3 linked regions of the Drosophila melanogaster genome follow. The protein of the gene in region 2 interacts with the protein of the main gene of each other region in a pairwise test. Each region holds a gene or a part of one and is shown on either strand. Other genes may lie near its edges.

Evidence for each region.
Region 1: the proteins of ng2 (region 2) and trn interact in a two-hybrid assay, tested with the Drosophila melanogaster proteins (one large-scale study listed by BioGRID).
Region 3: the proteins of ng2 (region 2) and CG11790 interact in a two-hybrid assay, tested with the Drosophila melanogaster proteins (one large-scale study listed by BioGRID).

Annotation. Positions count from the first base shown.
Region 1 is NT_037436.4:13,111,174-13,119,220, reverse strand, and holds trn (tartan), read right to left. Parts: upstream 4,951-8,047; 5' UTR 4,475-4,950; intron 4,033-4,474; 5' UTR 3,924-4,032; coding exon 1,710-3,923; coding exon of another isoform or gene 1,668-1,709; 3' UTR 1,144-1,667; downstream 1-1,143.
Region 2 is NC_004354.4:3,238,555-3,243,355, reverse strand, and holds ng2 (new glue 2), read left to right. Parts: upstream 1-2,784; 5' UTR 2,785-2,821; coding exon 2,822-3,160; 3' UTR 3,161-3,330; downstream 3,331-4,801. Other genes in the region: ng1 (new glue 1), read right to left, coding at 583-906; ng3 (new glue 3), read left to right, coding at 1,299-1,739.
Region 3 is NT_033777.3:25,044,262-25,050,598, reverse strand, and holds CG11790 (uncharacterized protein), read right to left. Parts: upstream 2,894-6,337; 5' UTR 2,814-2,893; coding exon 2,681-2,813; exon of another isoform or gene 2,575-2,680; coding exon 2,250-2,574; intron 2,158-2,249; coding exon 1,996-2,157; intron 1,935-1,995; coding exon 1,809-1,934; intron 1,721-1,808; coding exon of another isoform or gene 1,711-1,720; exon of another isoform or gene 1,691-1,710; intron 1,328-1,690; coding exon 1,165-1,327; 3' UTR 1,144-1,164; downstream 1-1,143. Other genes in the region: CG11786 (uncharacterized protein), read right to left, coding at 3,239-3,318, 3,384-3,863, 4,118-4,226; 5PtaseI (inositol polyphosphate-5-phosphatase type I), read left to right, coding at 5,550-5,627, 5,843-6,073, 6,310-6,337.

The DNA of each region.
Region 1 (8,047 bases), on a different chromosome or scaffold from region 2:
ACAATCTGTAAATGTATCTCGGTGTTGGAGTCCGTATCTTTGCGACCATATCGCCATGTATCTGTATCTGTATCCGTATCTGCGGCTGAGCGTGTGTTGAGGCGAATTAATGATTACATTCGCTTTTGCTTCGTAAGCTTGATCCACTAACCCTTGCCAGCGGCCCCTTCGGTAGCTCTTTCACTCAACTGGAGGCCATGAAAGGAAATTGTAATGATCGAAATCAAAATGTTTTCGTTACTTTGCCTCCTAATGAAGCTTGAATAGTGCGAATGACTCTCAAGTCTTAGCTCTCTCTCACTCTTTCTCGTTCTTGAGTGTCGAATCTCGAGTACACGCGCCTTTTAATCGAAATTTGATGATGGATTCCCCGCCAGCAGCCGGAATCCAATGGGGAAATCAGTCAGAGGTTGAGTATCTGGTCTTTACTCTTTCTTAGCCGCCTTTATTGTTGGCCATTTGGGGGGCTTGGTTCTGGCCGCTATTTGCCTTTGTTATTTATTTATTGTTATTACCGTACATTGCTCGCTGGAAGTTCTGAAATGATTTCTATTTTCGTAATTGTCTAAATAGGTTTCGATTTGGCTTGAAATTGAGCGAAAAGAGAAAACCAACGAAAAATAGGGTTCTTGAGGGTTCCCAGGGGCAAACTTCGACGGTGAGTTGGCAACTTTCTGGTCCGCCAGGTGGCAGCTGCATTGCAGGTGACAATGAAGGGGTGGCTGTACCCATATATACACTTATACATATATATTTGTATATGGTAGTAGTTACACATGTGTTTCCATGCACATTGAATTGAAAATTATACCTCTTCCCCACTTGCCACGCTCTGCTTGAGTCGGGTCTGCAAAAGTTTTCAAGCTTGTTACTATTGAATAATAGTATATTAATTTTACTGCATTTTTTATTCCCCCGAGCACGGTATGCAAGCCCTCAACTTACTTTTAATTGAATTGAAAGTCAAAAGTTTTGAGCTCGTGGAAAAAAAAGTGAAAATGTCGAGACAAATTGACACAGAGGAAAAGTTGCCGGTGCACAGGGAAAATGTATAATTAAAGGCAAATTTCCACGGCAGTATGCTGGCTGAAAGGAAAATCTGCTAAATTAAGAGCAGAATGAACACACACAGTTGTATTTTTTAGTTTTCAAATGAGTTTTGTTTTCATTGCGTATATTTTCTGTTTTCGTTTGATATTTTGTTTTGTCGCTTAAATTTGCATAAATTTCTTGTTCTAACTAATACATAAATAGTTGTTTGCATCTGATACGATTTTGCATTTAACAATAAATTAAATAAGTTAAAATTAAGCTTACGTTGACTCTCAGTGCTTGTTGTCTTTATCTAAACTCGTATATCATTTACAATTCATCTTAAAGACTACGATTAACTTATGTTCGGAGGGGGACGAGGAAAACAGTAGTGTTGGCAAAGTGCTGATAGAATTGGAGATCCTTCAGTGTTCTATAGGTTCGAAAGAGTGCTTTAAAGTTAAGTATGTACAAGGCAAGATTTTCTCTGACTTAATGCCTAGGTTGTATTTCGATTACAGCTACTACAATGTTTTCCTTACGCCTAACTACACGCTAATTGTGTCTGGAGGGGAGTGAGTGGTTTTAGTGGGCTTCTTGGGGGTTTTGGCATCACAGTGTTGGGCAGCGGACTACTAAGCATAGATGCTCAGCTGCCTGCGTCGATAGGTCGAGGATCAGTGCGTGAACTGACGCAGGGTGTTGTTGTTCTGCTGCTGCTTCTGAGAGGCGGACTTCTGCTGGAAGGATCTGCGTCCTGTGGTGGCACACAGTCCATTCCGCAGGGGCAAAGCTGGTGGCATCGGTGGCGGCGTGGGCGTCTTGCTGCGACCCAGTTGCTCCAACGGCATCGAGTAGTGGGTATTGCTGTAGATGTAGTTGTGGTCCAGGATCTCGCTGCCCATCTCCTGATCGTATAGCTCACGCTGCTTGAAGTGCTCTTGGGTCAGTCGCAGTTGCGGCTGATTCGGTCCACCCAACGGGGCGCCATGCACCATGGGCACATCCGCGTATGAGTAGCAGGAATCACCAACTGTAGCCGTGGCCGAGAGGAACTGCGGCTTGGTATAGTGGTTCAGCTGGGGATTCTGCTGATGCACATCCCGACCCATGGTGGCCGACTTCATGTGCAGCACAAATGAGGCACTGTCGTCGATGGCTCCCTGTGAAACCAGGGCCTTGTTGTTATTCAGCTTCTTCTCACTGATCATTGTGGCGGTGGGCACTACCAACTGTTGGAACTTCTGCTGGGGATCGATGGCGCCCAGGTCATTGACAGGCATCGGGCACATTCCATAGTGATGGGTAGCTCCGGGATGATGAGGTGCGGTATAGGTGTTGGGGAACGTGGAGTGGATGCCCAGGGAGCAGGGATGATGCTGATGGCGCGACATGTAGTCCTCGTCGCAGAAGGTCTTCTGGTATTCCCGTTCCTTACGGCCCAGAGCCGAGTTACCCCACAGACCGCCCTTGATGGTTTCGCGGATCTTATGACGGCAGCGGTACAGAACCAAAGCCAAGGCGGTAATCGTGGCAGCAGATCCCACCAGGAGAGCTCCAATCAAGGCCTGCTTGCGAGGATCGGCATGTGTGCATCCCATCATAGCAGGATTCAAATGGCGCAAGGATTCACCGCGCAGACGTTCGGGGAACTCACACAGCAGTTCGGAGACATCATCCTGACTGGCATTCTTGGCCACCAGCAGATTGTGCAGCCACATCACACGGCAGTCGCAGGACAAGGGATTTTCGGAAAGGTCCAGAGTCTGAAGATCCTTCCACGGGAACAGACCTTCTGCCAAGGAAGTCAGCGCATTGGCCTTGAGAACAACATGCTTCAATTGGGACAGCCCACTGAGGGCACCTTCTTGAACCTCCAAAAGCATTTTGTTGGACGATAGATTCAGATACTCCAGGTTACCATTGTCGCTGAAGGCTCCGGTCATCACACGCTTCAGCCTAAGAGCTCCATTCACCTCCAGGCGTTTAAGTTGCTTCAGGCCCATGAATGCGCCTTCGCTGATCACCTCGAAATCGTTTTGACCCAGGGACAGCTGCTCCAGACGAACCAGCTTGCTGAGACCCACGGAGGGAATGCGATCCAGACGATTATCGGAAAGATCAAGAATGCGCAACTCCTGCAAGCCGAGGAAGCTGTCGTGGGAGATGTTGCGTAGACTGGCACCCTTGAGTTCCAGGCGAGTAAGTCCTTTCAGGTCCTGGAAGGCATCAGCCTGAATGCTCTGCAGGGTGTTCATTCCAAGGAACAGCTCAGCCAGACTGGGCATGGCTTGGAAGATCACGGGATCGGGAACGGTGGTCAAGGCATTATCATCCAGATAAAGGATGCGCAACTGGGAGAGTCCATCGAAAGCCTTGGGATCCAGATAGCCGATGCGATTCTCGCCCAGATTCAGCTCCTCGATCTTCAGGAGAGGAGTAAAGGTGCCCTGGTGAAGTTCCGAGATTTGGTTACCACGCAGATTCAGAACAGTAACTGCCGACAGACCAATGAAGGTCTTATTGCTGATCTGCCCAATCTTGTTGTGATTCAGATGCACCTCCTGCAGCTTCTTCTGATAGGCGAAGGTGCGCTGCGGAATGGTCATCAGGTGATTCGAGGACAGATCGAGGAAGGTCAGCTCCGCGTAGAACTGGATGGACGAGTCGATGGTCTTGATCTTGTTGCTCTTAATCACCAGTCGCTGGATGGATGGATTCAGAGCAATGGGCAGCACGTCCAGCTGGCCCTCGCCACATTGTACCACCAGGGTATTATCATCGCACTGACAGCCGGGCGGGCAATTGGCCAAGCCCGCCGCAGGCTCCACACCAATGCTGGCCAAAATGCACCAGATGCCCACGAAGGCGATCATCATGTTTCGCTGCATCTTGGGATCTCTGATTCTCTTTTGATTTCTGTCTTTCGGTTTGCTTCGCTCTGTGCTGCTGTTTCAATTCTTTCAGAGTTTCTGTTGATTTTTTCAGTTTTCCATAGTGCTGCGGGTAGACAAACGAGGGAAAAATTTTCAAAATTAGTTTCTGTCTTTTCTGTGAGTTCGGTTAATTAGCCTATTTTCGTGGAACTATTTCTATTGATTAAAATTTACAGGGTTCTTGAAGCAAACATTTTTATGTTTTCACAAGTATTTCATATTGGATATATTTTTAGATTTGGTGTTGGAAAAATCTATATTAAGTTGCTAATGTTTCGGTCCTAATAAATTCTCATTTTAGAAATTTCAAACTCAATAAATATTTAAAGTCAGTAATTTAACTGAACAAAATTAAAATGTTCCAATTATATTTTTCGTATTTTATATTTTCTGGCAGCCTAACTTTATTTTGTTGAAACTTTTCTTCCGGTATTCTAATTTCCACAATATTCCACTTTTTCAGCACTTTTATAAAATGCACATTGTATGCCACAAGTGAAACTTACCTAATGTTTTTCTTTGATGATTGCTTGGCAACAATTTTTAGTTTTCAGCAGATTAAATCGTTGGTGAACAGAACATAAAATGCAAAATGCAGTGTTTCGGTTTTTGTTTGTATTTTGTGATGTGTTTGCGTTTTCACTGTTTCACTTTTGGAAAAATATTTTGAATAGCCAATTTTTTGTTTTGTCACATTTGCTCAACTAAAACATGTGTGTTGTTCAAAATTAAAATTTTGGTTTGTTGTATTGCTTGTTTCGTTTTTTTTTTTTTTGTTTGCTGATTGTTTGTGAAACGTGCGCGATAATCCAATGGTTCGCTTTGACTGCACGCTTCAAGTTGTTGTTAGGCGTTCGACGGGTTTCCGTTTGAATTTACGTATTTCGTGTTACCAACTCTGGTAAGAGAGAGGAACTTGGTCGCAATTGGGTCTCTATAGCTGGCAGACAACCGCTCACGACGAGGCAACGAACTACACTGATTTTACGAAGTGCCTGCTGCACAAACGATACCTCGGCTGGCCACTTTTGCCGGGGTGGTTGAGCGGTACAGAGCGGTAACAGAGCCGTTTGAGCGGTATGAGATGGTGGTGGTGGTGGTGGTGGCTGGCAGCTGCATCGGACATGGGTAAAAAGAGCGGCGTGGCTGAGGCGAGACGGCCTTGCGAAGGCGAGTTCTCTCAGATAAACCCGCCAGCAGGTAGTCGGAACTGGTTGTGAGTGTCGGATACAAATGTATCTCTAGTTGTCTCTCTCGATGGAGAACTCAGTGTGGCGAGTTTCACTCGAAGTTTCCACTCATTTATCTGGCTATACGTGCCCCATATATCCAGGCTCGCTCTCCGACAATTGCAACTCACACGTTGAACGAGCCGCACGTCCTCGACGAAATGCTGTCGCCCATAAAACCTAAAACTAGAACTGAAATAGTCAACGAAAAAAGTAAAAAAAAAACAAAACTGAAGAGAAAACTAAAACAGCCCAAGTGCTGTGGCATAATTAAGACCCCATAAAAAGTACATAGTCCTACGCAGAATAGGAGCTAGATGGATATTTATGGGCCGCAGACATGTCCTGGCCTAAGTGGAGCCTTTTAGTGCGGTTTACAGTCCAAATGTGACGCACTTGAAATTGATATTTTTGTATCTGCGAGTTTGTATCTCGAGGACACGAAAGTGTTGCACTCGAGTATTTCTCAAAAAATATTGTGTCATCTGATACATTTGAGATGCATTTCTCATTCTTGGCATGCAGAGCAAACAACTATTTACAACTCGGCAAAATCACAAAAAAAAGAACGGGAAAAAAACAACTGTGACAACAAGAAAATCAACTTTAAATGGCCATAACTTTGTGCCAACATATGTTGCTGGATCAGAGGGGACCGGGGTGGGGCACATTTTCCGGGCCTTACGGCATGCGGTTTTCCTCCACATTTTCCACAGCCAAGCCCCCCTGCCCCACCGACATAACTGGCATATTTCCGTCTCCGAGAATTTCGCACACAAAATTTATTTATCGTACCGAGATGCAAATCTTTTTCGACTGCTTTTCTGTATCTTTCATAAACTAACCAATAAGTAAACTTGTTAAATTTATACCATATTACCCAAATTTGAGGCATCTTTGCGTATTGAAAGCCAAGGCAACTGTTAATAGTTGCTTGACCATAGGATTTTATGAATTTGATTTGTTGCCTTTGAGAGAAAATAAATACATATACATAATTTATGACAGAAGTAGTTTTGGAAAATTTTCGTTGCCAAGAGAGATAAATTTAGCCTTTAAACATGTATTTCAAAACTCGTCTTTACAATTTATTTAAAGTAAAAAAATTTGATTTGCCTAACTTTGTTGGCAAACATTTTTTTCGTTTCTACTCTTTTGCTGAACTGAAATCTAAATTAAATTGTTGGTTCAATTTCTACATTATTAAATGGGGTACACAACCTATTTTGAATAATAAACCAACTATTGGTTCTCATACTAAAACCTTACATTTGCTCTTTGATGAAACATTCATAAAATTGCAGGCCTTTAAAGATCTGTTTCAAGAAATTAAACAGTTTTGCTGACTTCTTAGAGAAAGGCTTTGGCGAAGTATAATAATAAACTTGAATACAAATGCAGGAAATGCAAACAAATTGCCATAACAGCGGCTTGTAAGAAAAGTATCTTTGGCTTGTAAACTGCCAAAGTGCTCTACATAGGTAAAGACTGCGTAGTTTCCTTTCAAAAACCAGATACGAAACACACAGTGATTGCTGCACATGCAGCTAACGGAAGTTTGCGTTTTTATTTTTATATATGTGCCACAAGCTGGGCTAGTCAGGTGCCACAAGCTTTTGGACCCCAGCTCTCACGTTACACATCGGAAAGCCTCAATCTACCCTCTCAATTTGTGACAATGTGTGAGAATTTCCCAGCAATAAAACCCAAATCCAACAACTTAAAATAAAGGCGAGGTGCACCACACACATCTTTATGCTTTCTGTTAACTCTTTCAGTTTGTTTGCACTGCGACTGATGTCCGAATTGCATATGAAAATTGTTTGGCCAAACGCTAAAAGCACTTAAACAATTAGAGGGAGAAACGAAATGGCTGGGGAAGCAGCTTTCTGTGTAATTAGGTAAAACAAGGTCTGGTGAAGGGCTACGACTACTGTCGAATCGCTGCAGCAAAAGAGAAAAATAAATGTAAATATTTTTTGGATAGTATATAGTATAGAGAAAACTAAAATGTAGGAAAATTTGAAATATATATCTCCTCTTATTTAATATCTTTGTTTTAATAAGCTTATGAGTTTAGCTGTCTTAGAACACTGCGTCAATATCCTTCTTGGATTTTTGACTAAGTTATTATACCATTTTCTAGTCACTTTAAACCTTCAGTTCACATCCGAGGAAGTGCCCATTTTTGTGCCGAACCCTGAAAAAATGGTGCTTACATATTCACCGGAATAATGCCAGACATGGGGAAAATCGCCGGCTATCTGAACGGCAAACATAACGCACTTTGACCAAACAAAGAGCTCGAAGTCTCCTGAGAAGTGACTTATGGGAACGGACAGCTGACGAAGTCTCAGTCATATAAATATGCCACATTCAATATGGGTGCGCATGCGCCGCTTCTTTTTAGACCGTTGTTGTTTTATTGGCCCGGCGTTGTTTTAACAAGAAACTTGTTAGTTGCAGCGGGTTAAAGATTTTCGAGTCTTGTACTTGGCCCTGTTTGTTTGCCAGTCGCGACGTCGGCTACCCGTTTCATGTGTTGTTAAATCTTTCGCCGGTTGTTTCACTACTTCTTAACCAGCTGCCCTTCCAATTGATGTTTGTCCGACTCATAAGCGACGGCACAACCCATTTGTCAGCATTCGAGGCAAACATTTTAACAAGGCCTCAGGGATCGAGAACGTTAAGCCGCTGACAGTTCCGGTGCGAATGCAACTTCCGCATAGATTGAGACGGAGGCAACTTCTTAGACCAATAAAATATCAATTGACTCGGCAATTAATCATATTCCAAAATGTGCAAAGAGGAATACTATCCGTATTGGAACTCGAACTGAGTCTGAAACCG
Region 2 (4,801 bases):
AATCTTTATTGCTTACCAAAATTTTTGCATTCGGATATTTGCGAAGTCCAAACATGAATGCTACATAAGCTAAGGTAAACAAATTAAGCATTATACGTTTTAAGTTAATCTCTATTTTTTGTTTGTTCAAGAGACAAAAGCAGCACAAAACACAGCTTTTTTTTTGTAGCACACTTTTGCGGGATGATTGTTTATTAAAGCTTTCATTTTATAAGTGAGAAAAGTTACTAACCTAAATGATATATGAGCGAAAGATCATACAATTCTTAGAATTTTGAAAATGCAACTATGATCAGCCGTAATATTACTAAATAAATACATATAATTAACACAAACTTTTTCAACTACTGATAACTTTACATTCAGTCAATCTGTCAACCAAAAAAAAAAAAACATTTTAAACTGATTTGAAAAAATGCAGAAATTCAACATGAGAAATACTATTTCATTGATTTATATATTTGCCTTATAAACGAACAATATTGCTATTTCATTATAAACTATTCAAAAGTTAAGTGCTATGGTTGTCATTGGGTTCAGCATTGGGATTGGAGTGGATTTCCTATTGGTCCTGTGGATCTTTCATTCATCGGATCTGCGACCATTGCGGCTCCTGAGACCCCTTCTCCTTGTGATTTTCCTGACCTTCTTTGGCCTCTTGACCTTTCGCTTATAGTGAGTGACAGTCTTCTTTTTTGAGCTCGAGGAAGGTGAGGCTGTTGTTGTGGTGGCCGAAGCGGAAGTGGTGGTGGTGGCCGAAGCGGAAGTAGTGGTGGTCGCCGAAGCGGAAGTAGTGGTAGTGGCCGAGGCGGAGGTGGACGTGGTGGTTGTGGACGCCTCCGACTCGTGGATCATCACACAGCCGAGGAAGGTGGCGAGAAGTACGAGTACCACGGTGATCTTCATGGTGAGCAAATGCTACAATAGATGCCTTGCTACTGATGCTGTCTTGAAGAACGAAAGCCAGCTTTTATAGTAGTCTTCTCAACTGGGTTTATCCTCTTTTGCAAATTTTTGTCAACAGTTTTGGCCAAAACAAAGGGAGCGTTTTTGCAGAACAAAAAACCCGCAAGTTTGTCAATTGTTCATTGTGCCCAATTGTTCAAACAGTCAAGTAAGTTAAGTGCAAATATATAATATAACTTTTAAGAAATGCCCAATTATGTATGTCCAATTTATATTCGCTACGCAAAAGATATGAAAGATTTTGTTACGTAATTGCTTAACTGTGGTAATTAGTATAAAAGACCACGGCCTCTGGCTGCAGACATCAGTTGTCCAGCCACTGGCCATCCAACATGCGCTACTCCTGTGTTCTTTTACTTCTGGCCACCGTTGCCTGTCTGCTAATCCCACAGACAGGTGGCTCCACGGCCACCACAACCTCAACTTCTGCTTCGGCTACCACCACCACTTCCGCCTCGGCCACGACAACCACTGCGTCGGATACAACTACTACCACAGCGGCTACCACAACCACTTCGTCCTCCTCCTCAAAGAGTAAAAAGAAGAAGAGGACGTATCACTATACACGTCATGTTTATAGGCCAAAGCGGATACGACATATCTATAGGCACAAGGCCGACGACGACGAAAGCTCTACCGATCGCACCAGCACACGCAGCCGTCGTCGTCGCCGCAGCAGTAGCAGCAGTAGCAGCAGTGGCAGCACCAGTAGCCGCAGTGGTAACAGTCGCATCCGCCGCAGGAGAGCCCGAAGTGCCCGACGCCTGTCTTAGTGACCACATCTTGTACAACAAACCAACTGATCTGATCGTGACGCCTTTGAAAATGTAGTTTTTCTTTTTGGTTTTCTTTTTTCCGTTCAAAACACTTAAGGCAAATAAAATGAATATTTCGATATTAGTTCATTCTGCTTATCAATGCCGCTTAAAGCATTTACTTATGCTTTTACTTATGCATTTACTTTACAAAACAGATCGAGATAAGAAGCATCACTTGTTGTTTAAAGTGTATGTCAAGTTCGTTACAACGTATAATTAACCATTGAAATTTTGATCAAATAGTTACTTTCAGAAAAAATATAAAGGGCATACTCCTACAATAAATGCTATATATTATAATCTTAAGTATTATTATCTACCCCAGACGTTATTTAATATAGTTAATAATAGCGCTTTCCTAAGCTACGTACACAATGTGTTTGTTTGTCTATAATTCAGACAAGCTACAAATGAAAGTAAACAATTTATGGCAAAATCATTTTAATTGGTTAATATTTTTCCATTATTTGCTTAAGAGAATAAGTTTAAAGCTGATGTGTTCCGTGTTTTAAAAGCCGTAGTATACTTTTTAGGGGAAATTATTTAAGTGGCAGAATATATAGTTGAATATAGTATAGTATATAGTATATATATAGTAAAGAATCTATATATATAGTATAGTATATAAAGTTGAATTTTTCTGCAGTTTTTACAATGCGTTTATCGTATATAGATTTAACCTAAGTCATTTGCATTTATTTAAAAACCAAGTAACGGTTGACAAAACTAGACTTCCGTTGGCATTAGTGGCTTAAGTGATTTTTATAATAACAGTTAATAAATTTTCGCAAAATGACAAGCTCCATACAAAAATAGATTATCATGCCTCTTGTACATGTGCAAATTTTATCTGTTTAAACAATTGTGCCAATACGAAAAATAGCGAATTTTTGTTTGGCCAAAAATAACATCTTTTCTTTGGCTGACACAGTTTGGCCGAAGAGGATAAACCCAGTAGAGAAGACTACTATAAAAGCTGGCTTTCGTTCTTCAAGACAGCATCAGTAGCAAGGCATCTATTGTAGCATTTGCTCACCATGAAGATCACCGTGGTACTCGTACTTCTCGCCACCTTCCTCGGCTGTGTGATGATCCACGAGTCGGAGGCGTCCACAACCACCACGTCCACCTCCGCCTCGGCCACTACCACTACTTCCGCTTCGGCGACCACCACTACTTCCGCTTCGGCCACCACCACCACTTCCGCTTCGGCCACCACAACAACAGCCTCACCTTCCTCGAGCTCAAAAAAGAAGACTGTCACTCACTATAAGCGAAAGGTCAAGAGGCCAAAGAAGGTCAGGAAAATCACAAGGAGAAGGGGTCTCAGGAGCCGCAATGGTCGCAGCAGTAGAAACCGCAGATCGGAAGAATAAGAGATCCAGGACCAATAGAAAATCCACGCCACTCTCAATGCTGAACCCCAGGAACCAATTGTTTTCTTTTTTTTTTATTTCTTAGTCCATAAGCTTAACTAACACTACAATAATTCTTTTACAAGTCAATTAAGAAATCATAAAAAAATATACATATTTTGTGACATGTCAGTCAAATGTTATTTATTCAGTTATTGGCCAAACAAAATTTAGCAACTAGTTGTTTTGCACAATTGTTTAAACATTTGAAATGCCTTTACTTTATAAATAAATATATGATGCGCATAAATGTGTAAGTTCTTGTATATTTTTTTTAACATCTATAGTGATTTAGCTAATCATTTTATATTAATTTTCAGAACAAATATTTTATTCATGATCATCTGAATGTGAATGCGAAATCTGAAATCCTTTTTAATAAGTTGATTAAAATGCAGACGAGCATTAAACATTTATTCGTCAAGGCTTTTCTGGGCCTCAAAAGTTGCGTTTCCATTGAAATCCATTAGCACAAAACCGAACTCGAGGAAACCCGCAAAAGCCCCAAAAGGAAAATTTGTGCAAGCGGCAAAATACTCGTAAGCAAAAACTTTTCAGCCCAAAAAAGCGAATGGGGAAATTCGAAAAGCTGTTGCCATAGATACCGCACACTCACACACATATATATATATATAGGTACATATATGTATGTATGTATGTATGTGAGAGGAAAAACATTAAGAGAAAAAAACGGAAAACAACAGCCACGAATTCCATAACAAAAGAGGCGAGTCAGGTGGTGCCCAGAATATTTTCGAGCACGAAGACCACTACTGAGCAAACAGGCAGCTAAAACTCTTGTGAGTTGCCATTCCGCAATTAATTATTGTCATTTTATTAAAGCATAGTTTGCGGACTGGTTGAAAACGACCCTTTGGATATGCAAGAATAAACTCAAAGTTTTTGCAGCCATTGTAACAAAACTGAGACACTCCAGTTTCTCCAACATTTCAAAAAACCTTCAGCAGACTTTAACACATGAAGTGCATATGAAAATCTAAAATCAACACAACAAAATCATAAAAAAGATGGCTTAAATCAAGAAAATCAAGAATTCTGCAATTTCAACAAATCGAAAGACAAGTCCTCAATCATTTTTTGTCCAGCAAACGAGCTTTTTTTTTGTTTTTTTGCTACACAGTCCGCCCGATTGAGCCATAAAGCAGAATATATGTACGTATATTTGTTATTGATTTTTATTGAGACATTTGCAAAATTAATGTGTATGATGCGGGAGGGCATTTCCAACAACCGGGTAAAACTTCCTCGACTTGTCGAATGATGACCGGCATTAATAAATCAATAGCGTTTTGATGGCAAATAATTCGAGATCTGCTTCGGGTATGCAGCCATACGCATTGGAGCATCGATGGCCCACATCCTGTGTATCCTTTTGCCACATCCTCGAAACGCCCCACCGACCTTTGCGTCTTTCAATACCCAGGGGCAGTATACACAAATTCGTTACAATAGACCGAAATAACAGTAGTTTAGTACTATGAAGAATTGAATGTTTTATCGGTCAATTTTAGATATTCAACGTTACACATAAATAATGTTCATATGCTGACCATAATTAAAATATAAAAAAAAAAAAACACA
Region 3 (6,337 bases), on a different chromosome or scaffold from region 2:
TGTTTTTCACTAGGCCAAGCGGAGGAAAACCGAAACGGAAAAGCAGAATAGCGTAGAAGCAATAAAGCAGAAAAACAGACAGACGTGTCGAGTATTTTCTAGTCGTGGTGCTCGTGCAGGGGAAAAATGCGATTAATGCTGGCACTCTTCACTACAACCACACATCCACACAAATGCGACCGTTGAATGTCTGCACATTTTCTTGAACTGTTCTACACGTAAGTACGCACATTAGATTCGACTTGGACTTCAGTTCGGTTCGGATGGCAGCGAGTATCTGAATCGCACAGAACTCGCACTCGACTGAACAAAACAAAAGCTACGAATCTGACTCATGTGCGCTCGCTTGACTACAGCCACAGCCAACCAAAATCTCAATCGAAAGTCGCTGCGAATGCGAATGTGAGTGTCGTGTGAGTGTAGTGTTCTCTCTCGATCTACCGATATCGATATACCGCACTACACATATATACGTCCCACTCGTATTCGTAATCGTTTTTGTGTTCGTGTGTACTCCTCGCTCTTTTTTCAAGACCTTCTGACGTCAGCTGACATTTAGCGAGCACTGTGTTTTAACCAACACCAATTCGGGTACATTTGCGTGTATTTGGGTATCAGCGGGTGTATAAATAGCGTGTTTTGAGTGATTTACCCCAAGATACAAAAAATCCAGGTTCCGAGGAATACGCTTACGCCAACGATGACCGCTGCGAAACAAATAAAAAAAAACTGCCTAACAACACGATCGCGAATCTCACGCTTTACGAAACGAAACGCTGCTTTAATTTGAGCGTTCCACGCCAAACTATCATCGCACTTAAGCAATTGGCTAGATTGCTAGCCGAGTTAGCCCCTGAACTCCGAGCCCAGTTGCTAAATGGGCCGATCTAAATATTTTTGTTTGCTTGCCCGCTAATTAATTGAAAGCAATCAAGAGATAGGATATAGGTATTGTCAGCGTTGTGCGCCAGTGAACAATGGATCTTTTGCGATATTAGGTATCCATATTTGCATGTTCCGCTTCCACCGTTCCAGCCAAAAGAGCTGCCAGTTTTTGTGGCGTTAGGAATTGCAGCAGTTGAATTTTCGCGCCCACTTTTCCGCTAATTGTTGTCACTCGACTAATTCAAAAACGTCGTGTTTCATTTAGTCTTTATATTAGTTTTATTTCGACTTATTTTTTGTTTTCGCAGGCTCTGAACTGAATATTTTGGCAACCTTTTTGCCAACGAATAAGAGAGCAACTAAGGCGAAAATACTCAAAGTCGCCAGCGATGTTATGTTTTCAGCTGCAAAATAACTTTGCAGTGGGCCCAAAAATTCGTTTCTGAAAAGCACGAAAGTTAAAACATTAGCTCATTTGATCATTGGTTATTAGGATAAACGTTGTGTAGTATTAAATTCGATCTTCTCAAACCAGGAACTGTTTTAACCAGGGTATAATTGATTAATGTAATATTGTTTATGTACAAACTGGATAATATACAACGGTTACGATTAACATTTGGTTCGATATTAATCAACGGAGTGATATTAACAATTGTTTTATGCTCGATGGTGGAATCAGTGTCTATGTTGAATACCCTCAAACTGGCGTTATATGCAACCTTGTACCGGGGACAAAGAATCAGTATTTGTTAACTAATAGTAATTATTAATAGGTTTACAAGTTTTATCTTGGCTCACTTACTAAACACATGTATCAGTTTCTCACAAATCCCTATAAAAAGGTCATAATCGGACTTTGAGTTTAAAATTCGATCGATGGATGAATTTAAAATCATTTTAGCTATGAGAGGAATACTTACACGGCACTTGGGATTGCGGGCACTGGTTGAGGATGGCTCTGGGTATATCCCTTCTCAGCAAACTGGACAAAGGCTTCGGGACTGTATTGCTTGGCTGAATATTTGTACATCTTTCCTTGCCTCAAGCTGTAATGATTATAATTTATATAATCTATTCTTGGACACAACCAAAGCGATCAGGGCTTACAAAATAAAAGCCGGTGCTTCCAATACTCCCAGTCGCGTAGCAGTTGAGATTCCAGACTCCAAACTGTTCATGCGGGCAATATTCAGCTTTCGCTTTAGCTTTCCGCCCACAGACTCCCAAACGGCATAGAGTCGCTGACAGACGGTACATTCGGCCGAAGAGCTGGAAGTGGGTGTAGGTGAGCATATGTGCACATATATGTACATCTCATGACGCTTAGATGGCGACCTCAACGCATGACTAATATAGCTTACAAGAAGATAAACCAGTCCCCGGTAGTGGCACCCGACGAGGCTTGAGTCAGGTGCTCGAAGTTGTCGTCGGAAAGCTCTTTGACCGCTGGCTCTAAGTTGTCATTGAAGAAGTCTAGGATTTCGTCATCGTTGATCTCGCCATGGTATAGAATGGGTATTCCTCGCCTGAAGAACACCAAAGCGGGCTCCTTGCTGGGGTCATAGATGGATACCAGGTTGCTGTCCACCGACTGGACCACAATGGCCGACAAGGTCTCCTCCAGCTGGGCACGTATCTTGGTCACCATGTTCTCATATTCCACGCAGCGCTGGCAATTGTTTTTGTCTGCAATTAAGTGTGCTCGTTAGCCAGTAACCGGTGTACCATCCTCCATATGCACAGTGGACACGTAGGCTGGATTTCTCTGGCTGACTTTCCTACCAATACTCACTGAATAGGACAACCACATTGCTGCTGCCGGTCAGGAGTTGAATCAACTCGGTGTCGTCCACACGCCGCAAATCCTGGCCAACGGCACAGCCCAGACTCAGGGCTATAATAACAACCGATACTATGTGCAGCATTTTTTGGCTGTGGATCTGCAGCAGCGGAGTTGATCACTGGCGAATGCGAATGAATCCGATCGCAACTTGGATGCGGACGCAGAGTGAGCCCGTCTATCGATAGTCGGCGAAATGTATCGTCGCCAGTGATGCGCAAGGTGACAGCTTTCGTACCTAGGTACGTTTGCAGGTACAAATGTGTACCTTGGCTAATATTCTGGTAGATAGGCCGACTACTTAATGAGTACTGTTCAAGAACCTAATTAAGCGTATCAAGCCATCAGGATGTTGGATTGATTTAAGAACCAGTCTGAATCAATGATATGCCCCAAGTTCAAACACAAGAGTAAAATACGAAATACTTTTATTTATAAGACTTTAACAAATAAATAATCAAGTGTAATACAATTTGTAACAATGCATTTATAACTAATTTTGGTATTGATCTACGAACTTCTTCCTTCAAAACTTTCTATCGAGTTTATTACAAAATCGTATAGGTTCTCAATTTGTTGGGCTAGTTTATCTGTAAAAGGGAGAAATATAAATATTAATAATTAATGCTTAAAGCACTATATAGAAACACCTTACCCTTATCTGTCTCTACAAGTTTGCTTTCCATGCCATCGCTCTCACCAGATCCAGACATCATATCATCCTTGAAAATGTTTTTCAGCTTCGGCAGAACCAAGAGCAAGAAAATCAGGCCGATGAACTTGACGATTTTCTTGAATATCAACAGCTTGAGCAAAATCTTTCCAAGCGTATACAGATTGATCTTGGACTTAAGCTTTTCCAGAATGGAGTCGTGCGAATGGTAGGGAATGAACGGAGCTGGCTTGTAAAACGGAGGAGGTGGTGGTCCATAGGAAGGATAGCCAGCTGGCGGTCCATATTCAGGAGGAGGAGGCAGATAGTTGTTGTTAGGCGGTGGCAGGTAGTTGTTGTTCGGCGGCGGATTGTACTGGTATCCATTGTTCGGCGGAGGCAGGTACTCCGGAGCAGGTGTGGCTGGAGGCAAGTAGCTGTTGCTCGGCGGGGAGCTGTAGCTGTAGCCCCCACTATCGTTGCCTAATAAATGCGAAAGAATCTTATAAGTTTAGCATTCAAGGATAATCCAAGAAGTTAATCCAATGACTTCTGTCATAAAGATTTGAATAGTTGTTTGTACACTGAATTATCGTTTTAAGCACTCAGTGCCAATTGATAGTACAGAAACACATATATTTGTAAGTGTATATTATTAATTTCACTTTCAGTTTGCTTTACTATAAGGTTTTTCAGCACTTTAGAATCTCTTTTGATCCCTATTATCTTTCACACACCGAAATCCAATGAGTTCGAGCTTTGAATATCCCCGGAATAGCTATCTCCAGCACTAATGCAAATGCAGGAAGTGCATATAATCAGAACGACCAGGTATTCGGTACGCATTTTGCGATCGCGTTGAGATATGAGTTAAGCGGTTCCTAAAAGTACAATAAACGGTTTGCCTGCCGTCCGTCTCTTTATAAATTTGGGGCCGAAAACATTGTGGCAAAGAAAATATCAGGTGGACGGACGTGTGTGCAAGTATTTATAACTGCCATCGCATTTCCCCCGTAAGGCTTGGCCCCCACTTATAGGGCATATATGTGCAGCGTGGAGCCGGAGTGGAGGAATTGAATTCACTTGTGTATTCTTGCAAGAAATGTGGCTACCGTCTCACGTGCTGTTCAGTATTCATGCTACGTGCAATCGCTTGGATTGTGTTGGAGATTTCGAAAGAGACGCACAGAGTTCAATACAACTTTCACTACCCAACTTTCAAAAAGCCTGGAAATAGCAAACCGCCTATATTATATAGTGTTTGCCAGTTTGTGTTTCATTTGGGCATTTGACATCGAATTTTTGACAAATTGTTAAACCCGTTTTGTGGGAATTACGGATTTGCATAAGTGACACAAATTGAAGACATTTCGGACAAGTGTTGCGGTTGTAATACTTTTGAAGATACTTAGGAATTCTGTCAAAGATTGAAACCGTCATACGCAGTACGCAGTAACTACTGTAAGCTGTTTGAATGAAAAGATGATGTACACCGTAGGTCTTAATGGGCCTTAATAGTTTTATGTCGGCGGATATGCTTATAATATAGACAACGGATCACCAAATTGCTTAATGTGCCACCACACCGCATGAATTGTTAATTTCGAGCTGCATTTATACGCATTTAATTGCAGTTACACTGAAATTCAAAAACTTAGTCAAGATAATAGGATAAATAATAATATTAAGGATCAAAGAACTGTAAAACATTAGAAACCTGCAAGTTTCAATGTTATTGCTTTGTCCAAACCCATTAATTTCTATTCCCTGTGCCATTTAATTGTTTATATCTACTTTTAACTGGCCATTGTACTCATGATATTACCGTTACTTTTATCTCGGTCACTGCCGGAAGTGACCTAATTACGATTCTGAAACCTAAAGTTAACAAAATATGAAAGAAATGAAGCTTAACTATTTAAATTCGTGAGGGGTATTGTATTATTCAATGTAAACGAAATAAATAAGTTTAATTAAAAAACTGCAGAGATATGCATAAATATATTTGAAATATAAACGATTACGGTCACTTAAAAGCTAATAATCGAAATGGCCTAGTTTTCGCCAGGCGGTATGGTCACACTGCGCCTTGACTCAATTAGTATTTACAATTGGAACGCTGATAAAAAGTGAATAAAATTGTTGCATCGCAGGCGAAAGTGGGATCAAATGGAGTCAGCACAGGAAGACGCGTCCAGCACGGATGTGTTTCTGGTCACGGCAAACGTTGGCAGCCTATTTGAGGACGTAAGTGGCCGTTGGAACGGATGCGCCATGTCCACAGGGCTAGGAAGTATACATGTTTACGTACGGCCCATACATACACGATGCGTAAATCGCATATTTATGTATGGGCCCAGTGACATACATAGATATGTATATCCGAATCCGAGTTCCCAAACAAATTGGTATTCAGCACATTCAGCGCCCGCCGATAATCGAATTTCCAATCCAATTTGCAGCCGGAGAGGCTTCTGCAGCTATGGCTAAGCGAATTTCTTGCAAAGATCGCCGTCGCACAGCCCCGTTTCCTGGCCCTCCACCTACAGGAGGTGGGCGGCAAGACGTACGAGAAGTCCATGGAGTACGTCCAGGAGTTCATCAGGTGCCTCTGCGATGCTCCCGAAATGGGCGACTTCACCTGCGTACACATCTTCATGGACGAGGACTTCAAATCGGCCGAGCACTTTACGGTGGGTGGGTGAATCGTGTTTCTAGGTCAATCGGCACATAAAAACCCAATTCGGATGAACTGAGGCGTTACGCACTTATTGTTCAATTAAAATTGCGACGAAAGCCTTTTAAAAAATATGAATTAAGTCACTGGGCTTAGTCATGATGAATGAGTCTCTTGAATTCACATATCAACATACAAAAATGTTATATCCGGTTAAAACAAATACCCACATTATTGTATTATTATTTTTAGGCCCTTGGAAGTCTTTACTTTGTGCATA